3 linked regions of the Cricetulus griseus genome follow. The protein of the gene in region 3 interacts with the protein of the main gene of each other region in a pairwise test. Links are inferred from orthologs where the notes say so. Each region holds a gene or a part of one and is shown on either strand. Other genes may lie near its edges. The genes, in order: Spatc1l, Cchcr1 and Fsd2.

Region 1 (3,654 bases), on a different chromosome or scaffold from region 3:
TCAGTCACGTGTGACATCCCACAGCGTTGTGGTGTAGCTATAGAGGTACCAGCCTCTGTGTCTCATTGTTGCTAACCACTATCAGAGACTGACAAACCTCATGCTATCTGACCAGGTCCCAAGGCTATGAGAGAGGGGTCTAGTTCTGTACTTTCACACGTGAAACACAGTTTCCCAGAACTATGTGTTGAAGAGACTCTTTTCCCAGGGTTTTTAGAGTTTTGTTTATTGGCCTACTTTGGTTTTCTGCCTCTTACGGAGCCATTTTACATCCGTTTGCAAGAGAAGCTCTCCTGTCAACATTTCTAGTGGTGTACTGCTGTCCATAAGTGTTTTCAGTGCTGTGAGGAGTGTCTGGGTAGAGGCCAGGAGGCCCTCAAGGACCAATGGGTCTTAGAAGGGCAGACAGGAGGTCTAGCATCTTGTTGGCAAGTTGTTGTTGTTCTTTTAACTTCTTTTTTCTTAGAAAATACTTTTGGGACAAAGCAGTTGGTTCCTGCATGTGTACATTTTGAGATGGGATGTTTTCTCAAGTACACTTGCTTTCTTGTTAAGAGAACAAGCTCTGGGAGATAAGACTCCCCAAGTCAAAGAACAGATTGATGAGGGCTGTGGAAAACAAGGGCAGTCAAAATGCACACGGCTGAGCTCAGGCGTGGCCACAGAAGGGCTCACTGAGAGTGAGGAGGTACATCCAGAGAGGCTGACCACAGCTTCCCTCTTTGTTCTTTTCAAGCACTGACCTTTGAACTCAGAGCCTAGCCCAGCTAAGCAAGTGCCCTACCACTGAGCCACCACCCCTAACCACAACTTTGCTTTTGTGATGAAAAGGGGTGAAAAGTCATTGGGAGTGCCTATGGGCCAGGAAACAGAGGAAGCTGGGGGTTCACAAGTGGCAGGATATGGATAAATATCAAAAATTTATGTTGCAGGAAAACTTATAGGATGATACCATTTGCGATGAATTTAAAAAGCACATAGGCATCACTGCAGTGAGTGTGGTTGTGAGCACATCATGGCCCATGTGCTTACTGTTGAGCTCACGGGACAGGGCTTCCTCCATCACCAGGTGAAGTGGCTAAGAAGGGCCCAGAACTCTGGGTTGGGAGCAATAGTTTCATCCACGTCTCTTTGTGCTTCCAATCATGTCCTGGTACCTCCTGGCTGACTTATTGTTGTTTTCTTCTCCACCCCAGCTCCAGATTTTGGACGGTTTGCCAGTGTCCCTGACACACCCTCTCAGCTACAGATATCTTCCTTGGAGGACCTGCTATGCTCACATGCCCCACTCTCCAGTGAGGACGAGGCCTCCCCAGGCTGTGCATCCACCTCTCAGGTGCCTTTCAAGGCCTTCCTCACTCCTGCAGAACTACATGCAAGAATTGCCGACAGAAAGATGTCCCCACTCCTGAGTCCCTTGCAGGATTCCCTGGCTGACAAAACCCTACTTGAACCCAGGGATATCGTGCGGCCTAAGAAGGTGTGCTTCTCGGAGAGTAACCTGCCCACTGGGGATAGGAGCAGGAGGACCTATTACCTCAATGGTATGGTGCACACAGGTGGCCCTGGGTGGGAAAACCATGTTTAGGAGACATAGCTGTGGCTAGCTTCTCCAGTGGTGCAGAGGAGAGGAGAGCCAGGGAGGGCCAGGGGCCAGGGTTATGTCTATCCTGGTCTTTTGGAAAAAACAGAGTCACTTATCCTCATATTTTTTTTTTCAAAATCTGTTTATGTAATTCCAGATATAAGTCCTTTTTTTTGGGCTTATGTTTCCTATGTATTGCCTCCCAGTCTGTGTGTTTTCCACTGTTTACTGTTTCACTGGGGGAAGGATGAAACTATTGAACATAGTCAAGTTGACCTTCCTGATACTTTTCTTTTGTATTTTGTACTGTCTGTGTCCAATTTAGAAAGTCTATGTTAAATCCAAGGTTACAGATTATCTTTATTCTTTTGGAAGTTATAAAGCTTTAGGTCTCTCACTAGTTACAAGGTTTTTGTTTTTTTTTTTTCATCAGTGGTATGAGGTTTGCATGCAGATGCTACTTCCCAACACCAACACTTGGAAAGATGGCTCTTCCCCAGGAACTACCCCAGCATTTTGTCAAAAACTGATCCTCTTCCTGCATGAGTCTATTTTTGGACTTTTATGTGGTGCAATACATCCATCTGTGTAGATCCACTAGATGTTTGTGGCTTCGTGTAAAACCACAAATCAAGTTGTTCGGGCTGTTCTAGTTCCTTCGTGTCTCTTTAGAGTCACTTTAGAATCAGAATGACCATTTTTGCAAAAGAAAGTCTGATGAGATCTTGACTGGAATGGTCTTGGATCTATAGGCCAATTATATTGATCTTTTTTTTTAGACAAATGGCACCTTTGAGAAAATGACATATTTAATTTTTATTTCTTTATTTTAATTGTTTTTGAAATTAAAATATAATTGTATGATTTTTCCTTTCTCTTTGCTCAGCCCTCCCATGTACCCATTCTCTCAAATTCATTATGGCTTCTTTTTCTTTAGTTGTTGATGTGTGTTTGTGTGTGTGTGTGTGTGTGTGTGTGTGTGTGTGTGTGTGTGTGTGTGTATTCCTAAATATATGAACACAACCTGTTCATTCTGTGAAGTTTTCTGTTCCACCTGGTCCCACTGTTCTTCAGTCTCAAATAAACACACAGAGGCCTATAGTAATTATAAACTGCTTGGCTGATAGCTTAGACTTCTTATTAGCTAGCTTTCTTTCTCTCTTTTTTAAAAAGATTTATTTACTTATTTATCATGTATATAGTGCATGCCAGAAGAGGGCACCAGATCACATTACAGATGGTTGTGAGCCACCATGTGGTTGCTGGGAATTGAACTCAGAACCTCTGGAAGAACAGTCAGTGCTCTTATCCCCTGAGCCATCTCTCCAGCCCCAGCTAGCTTTCTCTTAATTATTGACCCATTTCTATTAATCTAAGTATTTCCATACGGTCTTGTCTTACCGGAGAATGCCCAGACCTGTTACTCCTTCAACAGCTACATGGTGTCTCCCTATTGGCTCTCTCTCTCTCTGCCTTTTTCTTCCCAGCATTTTCCTTGCCTGGTAGCCCCACCTATACTCCCTTCCTGGCTACTGGACAATCAGCATTTTATTAAACCAATAAGAAAAACATATATTCATAGCATACAGGAATCCCCCATCATCTCCTCTTTTCTGCCTAAAGAAAAAGAAAGCTTTAACTTTAACAGTTCTGTATAATTTTACTTGACTTTTCTATTTGCCAACCTCAGTTCTCAAGATCTGTGGGATTTAATAACCATGCAAATTCTTATAATGAATCCCTCTGTAAACACACACACACACACACACACACACACCACACCAGACACATACATACATACCACACACACACACACACACACACACACACACACACACACACACACACATACATACATACACACACACACACACACACACACACACACACACACACACACACACACACAGACACAACATACACACCACACACACACACACACACACACACACACACACACACCACACCAGACACATACATACATACCACACACACACACACACACACACACACCCAATGGTTCTGTTTCTTTGGAGAACATTGATGAATATAATTTGTGTTCCAAAAAT
Region 2 (2,917 bases), on a different chromosome or scaffold from region 3:
GGATGATGTGGGCACTCAGCTGCAGCTCAGCATCCAAGCGGTTCCGTTCTTCCCGAAGGTGCTCCAACTCAAGGCTCAGGTCGGCATCCACTGGGGGTGCGGGTGGGGGCGGGGGACAGCTGGGACAGAAATGACAAAGGAGTCAGAGGAAATTCCCTCAGCAGCCACCTGAGCGGCGCCTCCATCCCTCCATGGTCCTCTCTGCGTCCTGGCCACCAATACCGGATTGCCCTCAATGTCCACACACCCTCCACCTCTGTGTGCCTGAACTTCACCTTTGCAGGCGCAGCTGAGCAAGGGACACTTTTCGAGCCATCAAACCTGAGGAGGAAAGGCAAAGGACAGGAAGATGGGTATACACAGACAGAAGGACAGCAGGAGCACAGGCCAATGACAGACAGACAGAAAGACAGCTGAAGCACAGGGCAGTGACAGACAGAAGGACAGCTGGAACACAGGGCAGTGACAGACAGACAGAAAGACAGCAGGAGCACAGATCAGTGACGGACAGACAGACAGAAGGACAGCTGGAGCACAGGGCAGTGACAGACAGACAGAAGGACAGCAAGAGCACAGGGCAGAGTGATCGTTACCAAGACAACAGAGGATAGATGAGGTTAGATCTAGGGCTGAGAGGCAGGGGGCCAGGCCAGTGGGGACAGACAGAAGGACAGCAGGAGCACAGGCCAGTGGGACAGCTGCGACACACACCCTTAATGGTGTGGACCTTCCGGATGGCATAGCTGAGTCGGTTGCTGAGGCTGGGAATCCGGGCTACAGTCTGGTTCAGCCTGGTCATGGTGCCATGGATGCTGTCCTGAGTGCTGTAAAGACACAGGTCACTCACCTTCCACCCTCCCCTCACCTCTGAAGGACCCACAGGGTGTATGCACAGGACACGCTTGTCCTATCCTGTTACATGAGTGGGGAGGTGGGCTGTAAAGCAACAAGAAAAAGGGGGAACAAAAGCCACCAGGAGGGACAAGACCTTAGTGGATCTTGCAAGTCAACCAAGCTCCTTAGCAGATCTTTTTTTTTTTTAAGATTTTATTTATTAATTATGTATACAACATTCTGCTTCCATGTATATCTGCACACCAGAAGAGGGCACCAGATCTCATAACGGATGGTTGTGAGCCACCATGTGGTTGCTGGGAATTGAACTCAGGACCTCTGGAAGAGCAGTCAGTGCTCTTAACCTCTGAGCCATCTCTCCAGCCCCTCCTTAGCAGATCTTTAAAAATGCCTGCCAGATAAAAACATCCAGCTGAAGCCAGGCGGTGGTGGCGCACTCCTTTAATCCCAGTGCTCAGGGCAGAGGCATGAGGATCTCTTGAGTCTGAGACCAGCCTGGTCCAGTAGTCCCCCTGGGGGCAGGAGGTGCGTGCAATGCTTTGAATCAGGGCAGTGGCTCTTTGAATCTAGTCTGATTCTCTGTGGGTTTTAAAGTTTCATCTTTTTTTTTTTGTTTGCTTTTTGTTTTTCGAGACAGGGTTTCTCTGTGGCTTTAGAGCCTGTCCTAGAACTAGCTCTTGTACACCAGGCTGGTCTCGAACTCACAGAGATCCACCTGCCTCTGCCTCCCAAGTGCTGGGATTAAAGGTGTGCGCCACCAACGCCCGGCTAAAGTTTCATCTTTTTTTTCTTTTTTCTTTCTCTTCAAGTGCTAGGGATGGAAGCCAGGGATTCCTGAATGCCAGGCAAGTGCTCCACTGTGCTATAGACTGTACAATTTAGATGCTTTCCAAACTAAACAGGGTGTAAGAGCACAGGAAAGGAGGAAGGGACGGGGGAGGTTTGGACCCTCCATGTCCTATCACTGAGCTGTGAAGCCCGGGCTCCACCTAGCTGCCCTACTTAGCTTCAAAGGCTACCCGACGGAACTGCAGGAAGCAGGATTCCCCAGCTCCAGACAGGTTAAATTCACAGCGGGAGACACTGCCAGGCAGAGATGCTCCCTCCCGCCTGAGGCCTGAGGCTCCTCAGGGTCCCAGAGGCTTGGGAAGCTTTGCCGCCCTGAGAGATACCTTTTCATGGCGCTGACCACGAACTTCAGCTGCTCCTCGACAGAGTCTGTCCGCTGCTTCTGCCGCCGCCTGGCCTCCTGAGCCCGATTCAGCTCCATTTGCAGGGTCTGGGAGGATGCCGTTTTGTGTTCGTGTTTTCTCTTAAGCCTCCTCCCTGTTGTCTGGCCCACAGACCCGCGGCAGCCCCAGGGTCTCCCTCACCCTCCCTCCAGTCTCTCTCTCTCTCCAGCTCACAGACCCGCGGCAGCGCCCAGGGTCTCCCTCACCCTCCCTCCAGTCTCTCTCTCTCTCCAGCTCACAGACCCGCGGCAGCGCCCAGGGTCTCCCTCACCCTCCCTCCAGTCTCTCTCTCTCTCCGGCTCACAGACCCGCGGCAGCGCCCAGGGTCTCCCTCACCCTCCCTCCAGTCTCTCTCTCTCCGGCCCACACCTTGATGCTCATGCGCTCCACCTCCAGCTCCGCCGCTTTGTCTTGCAGGGCTTGCTGCAAGATGGCCTGCTCCTGGCTCTGGGCCATCACTTGTTCCTGGAGCTCTGCTACCTGGAAGAGCAGAGGGAGCTGGGCAGGCAAGTCGAGAGCCAAAGCCGCGCGGAACGCCGGGTTTGAAGGAGAATCAAGGAGACCGGCAGAATCTCTGAAGTGGGGCTAGAGACACTGGCTCGGCGGTTATGAGGCACTGGTTGCTTTTGCAGAGGACCTGAGTTCAATTCCCTCTACCCTCGAGATGGGTGTGATGGCTCATAACCGTTTGTTACTCCAGTTCCAGGGTGGCCAACACATTCTGACTTCCATGAGCACACAGTACACATACATACACACGGTCAAAACACTCCTACACACAAAATAAAATAAATACATCCACAGCTCTGGTTACCCTGGAACTCACTGTG
Region 3 (3,654 bases):
TACAGCTGCAGCCTGGACACAGCTACACCATCTACGTCCGAGCCCTCAATGTTGGGGGCACCAGTGCCAGGAGTGAGCCTGCAACGGTGCACACCACAGGTCTGTGCCCCAGCCACACTCTTGGGACACAAAATTAGCCACTGTGCTGCAGACTCAGTACTGCTGAGAGTGCACTAGAGCCGGCAGGTGGTGGCGCACGCCTTTAGTCCCAGCGCTCAGGAGGCAGAGGCAGGCGGATCTCTGTGAGTTCAAGACCAGCCTGGTCTACAAGAGCTAGTTCCAGGACAGCCTCCAAAGCCACAGGGAAACCATGTCTTGACCTGCCCCCCCACAAAAAGAAAGAAAGAAAGAAAAATAGTGCACCAGAAAAACCTAACTAAGGCATTGAAGGGGCTCCTGCACCATCAAAGAAAGCCTTTGCTCTCTATAGATGAAGGACCAAGCCCCAGAGAACTCAGGTTGGCTGAGAAAGTGCTAGAACTCAAGACTTCTTTTCATGCCCCAGAGGCTGACCTGCTGGATCTGGGTGCCCTACATATTTCTTATATCACTGTTTTTGTTTTTTTTTTTTTTTCTTTCCAGTTTTGTGTTTTGAAATAGAGTCTTACTCTGTAGCTCAGGCTAATCTGTAATGCAAGCTGACCTGGAACTCAAGGTGATCCTCCTGCCTCAGTCTCTCCAGAGCTGGGCATTACAGGTGTGAGCCATTACACCTGGTTTAGGTTTTTTTTTTTTTTTTATGACATTCTCGAGAATTCCAAGTAGCCACAGCCACCTCCCTGCCCCTGCTGTCAGACCAAGCACTTCCCCAGTTAGAAACCACCTGAGTTGAGTCTCCACCATTCAGCCTCTCCCTGCCTCCATGCTCTGTCTATCCACACTGGGTGCTGACATCCCTCCTCATCTGCTTTCATCATGTCAGAGAACTGGCATGTCCCATGTCCAAGTCCTGAGTGAGCAGAGACCTTATTAGAAACATCCACACCCCATCACGCCCTCCCCCGGCAGTACTACAGGTCTGCAACTGAGCTTTACTGAGGCCTCCTTAAGCTGCACAGAGTAATCCAGTTCAAGCCAGCTGAGTGGGTGGCCTTCAGGTGAGCAGCAGAAACAGAGAGCCTAGTCAGTGTTTGGGAACAAATTTCCTTTGACTGAGATCTTTTCACTGAAACACACTGTGCTTCTTTGTTCCCATTTGCATTGGCAGGAGAGGTCTGTGAGCAACCCACATTCATATTCCCGCCACATAGATGGGAAAACCAAGTTGGGTGTCTTGAAATAACAGATACTTGCTCTAAACAAACAAGCAATGACACGGAGGGCAAAGGCACAGCCAGCTTTATTTCCTTTTTTTTGAAACAGCAAAGGATTGAACCTTGGCACACACTCAGCACACAAGAGGCTGAGGCAGGAGGACTGCTACAAGTTCAAAGCCAGTTTGTGTAACAGAATGGTTTCAGATGAGCCTGAGCTGCAGTATGAGACCCTGTCTAAAAAAAGTAAAAACAACAACAACAAATCCAAACAAATTCCCTCAATTTTGTTTTCTTTGTCAAGGTTAGAAATTATTTTATTTATTTATTTACTTACTTATTTATTATGTATACAGTGTTCACCCTGCACCCCAGAAGAGGGCAGCAGATCTCATTATAGATGGTTGTGAGCCCCCATGTGGTTGCTGGGAATTGAACTCAGGACCTCTGGAAGAGCAGCCAGTGCTCTTAACATCTGAGCCAGCCCAAGGTTAGAAATTCTTACTCAGGTATCAACACAGCCTGCAAATTAAAAACCTGGTCTCTGGAATCAGAGAGGCGAGAAGTTCAATCTGAGCTCTATCATTTGCCAGCCTATTTCTTAACCACTTGTGCCTCAGTTTCCTTATCTACAAAATGAAGACAGTGACACCTGTGCCTAGGCACAGCCCTAAGGACTAAGAGAGACAAGATGTGCAAACTGCAAGGCACTGAGCGCTCAAGTGCGGCCACACCCACTCACAGGTTGTCCATGACTGCCAGGAACAGGCTTCTGTGCACCCGTCTGGACCCTGTGCTTGGTACCGCCACTAGGCCATGCTGGGGAAATCCCACAATGACTGATTGGGGCTTCTAGAAATCTCCTCCCTCCACAGGAAGCTACTTCCAGCTGAACAAGGACAGCTGCCATCCCTGGCTGACCATTTCTGAAGATGGCTTTACAGTGGTTCGAGGTGAGAAGAAAACTTTCAGAAGGGAGCTGCCACCCACCAAGACCCAGTTTACCAGGTATCTGACTGGACACCTGATGGAGCATTCGGGAACTTACCTAGTGCCACTGTTATTTAGAGGAAGTTGACCAAGACTGTGGTGGCCTCTGCAGAGGGAGGTCCCAGGCTGTGGAAACTATGGGATATGGCCAGGATATCAGGTCACATAGCATAGGGACAGAAACCAGGCTCTGAACACTTCCCCTGTTGAAGTGAAGGGTTCCCCTTAGGTCAGTGGGTCTGTGAGTCAGGAACCCCTTTGGGGGGTGGCTGAATGACTTTTCACAGGGGTCACCTAAGACCACCCTGAATATTGTATGTTTACATTATGATTCATAATAGTAGCAAAAGTTGCAGTTATGAAGTAGCAACGAAAATAATTTTATGTTTGGGGGTGACAGCGTCAGGAAGGTTGAGAACCACTGCTTTAGGCCTTCATAGTCCTGGAAGTTCATTTGGCAAAGCAACACATGCACTGCAGACCTGGAGGGAACAGACCATGCATGGCGGGCTCTTTTGTAGCTTCTTAATGAGTTTCATGAATATTTATTAGGCAGGCACCAGGTGACCCTTTCCCTCCCAAATCGGATCTCCTTTTTAGAGCATTTCTTCCGAGCCTTTAGAACAGCCAAGAGGAGTCAAAAGCACAATGCAAGTGATGCACAATGTCAGGTTTTCTAAGGACGCAGCCCCTTCCTGAGTGCATGTGTGGCAGTTGGGGAAGTATCCTGGGTCTTTAGTTTCTGGTATAGCAGTCAGAAATAACTGCAGCTTGCCTCTCCTCTGTTTATGCCCTCCCCCCATCACTCTCACATTGGGGTGCTTTAGACCAAAGTGGTGGAGTGGGCCAGTTCTAAAGTGGGTGCAGAAAATTCTTTGGACTTATACAAGACCTGAGGACAGATGCTACCGGAAGGCTGTCTGTCTGTCCAGTTTGCTTGTTCCTTCTAGAGCTCAGTTCATTTTGTTGAACTATTTACCTATATTGTCTTCTTTCTCCAAGGATATATAAAAGGCTTAAAATAGGGGCTACTATATAATAGGGAGAAAAAACATCAAAGCAACATAAGGAAGCGGGCAGATTAACTCCCAAAGATGAATCAATATCCAGGCTTTAAACAGTAGCAAACGGCCTCTCTACTTCCAGGTGGTCAAAAGTGAGAGTTCAGAGGACCTGCTGGGGAAGACAGGGGCTCTCCCATTGTCAGCAGCAGTGGGAGACACAGATCCTCACTGCCAGCTTTACCAGTACGAGAAGCCCAGATCACAGATGATTTCAGGATGAGGCAGTATTAGATAAAGCTGGAGTTTACTAAGAGAAGCCTTTCCTGTAGGGCAAGCATGGGTGAAGAGGCAGGCAAAGAAGGTTTAAGAAAAGGACAGTTGTCCATACTCAGGGAGGCGCAGGTGCT

What was found.
Region 1: the proteins of Fsd2 (region 3) and Spatc1l interact in binary tests that used the Homo sapiens proteins (3 or more experiments, as listed by UniProt). The two-hybrid records come from large-scale screens. The link is inferred for Cricetulus griseus from reciprocal best matches to the Homo sapiens genes FSD2 and SPATC1L.
Region 2: the proteins of Fsd2 (region 3) and Cchcr1 interact in binary tests that used the Homo sapiens proteins (3 or more experiments, as listed by UniProt). The link is inferred for Cricetulus griseus from reciprocal best matches to the Homo sapiens genes FSD2 and CCHCR1.

The regions. Positions count from the first base shown.
Region 1 is NW_023276806.1:262,166,041-262,169,694, reverse strand, and holds part of Spatc1l (speriolin-like protein), read left to right. Parts: intron 1-1,196; coding exon 1,197-1,544; intron 1,545-3,654.
Region 2 is NW_023276806.1:229,467,974-229,470,890, reverse strand, and holds part of Cchcr1 (coiled-coil alpha-helical rod protein 1), read right to left. Parts: intron 2,568-2,917; coding exon 2,457-2,567; intron 2,135-2,456; coding exon 2,028-2,134; intron 825-2,027; coding exon 712-824; intron 322-711; coding exon 276-321; intron 120-275; coding exon 1-119. UniProt on the Homo sapiens protein: May be a regulator of keratinocyte proliferation or differentiation.
Region 3 is NC_048596.1:115,995,939-115,999,592, forward strand, and holds part of Fsd2 (fibronectin type III and SPRY domain-containing protein 2), read left to right. Parts: coding exon 1-99; intron 100-2,128; coding exon 2,129-2,261; intron 2,262-3,654.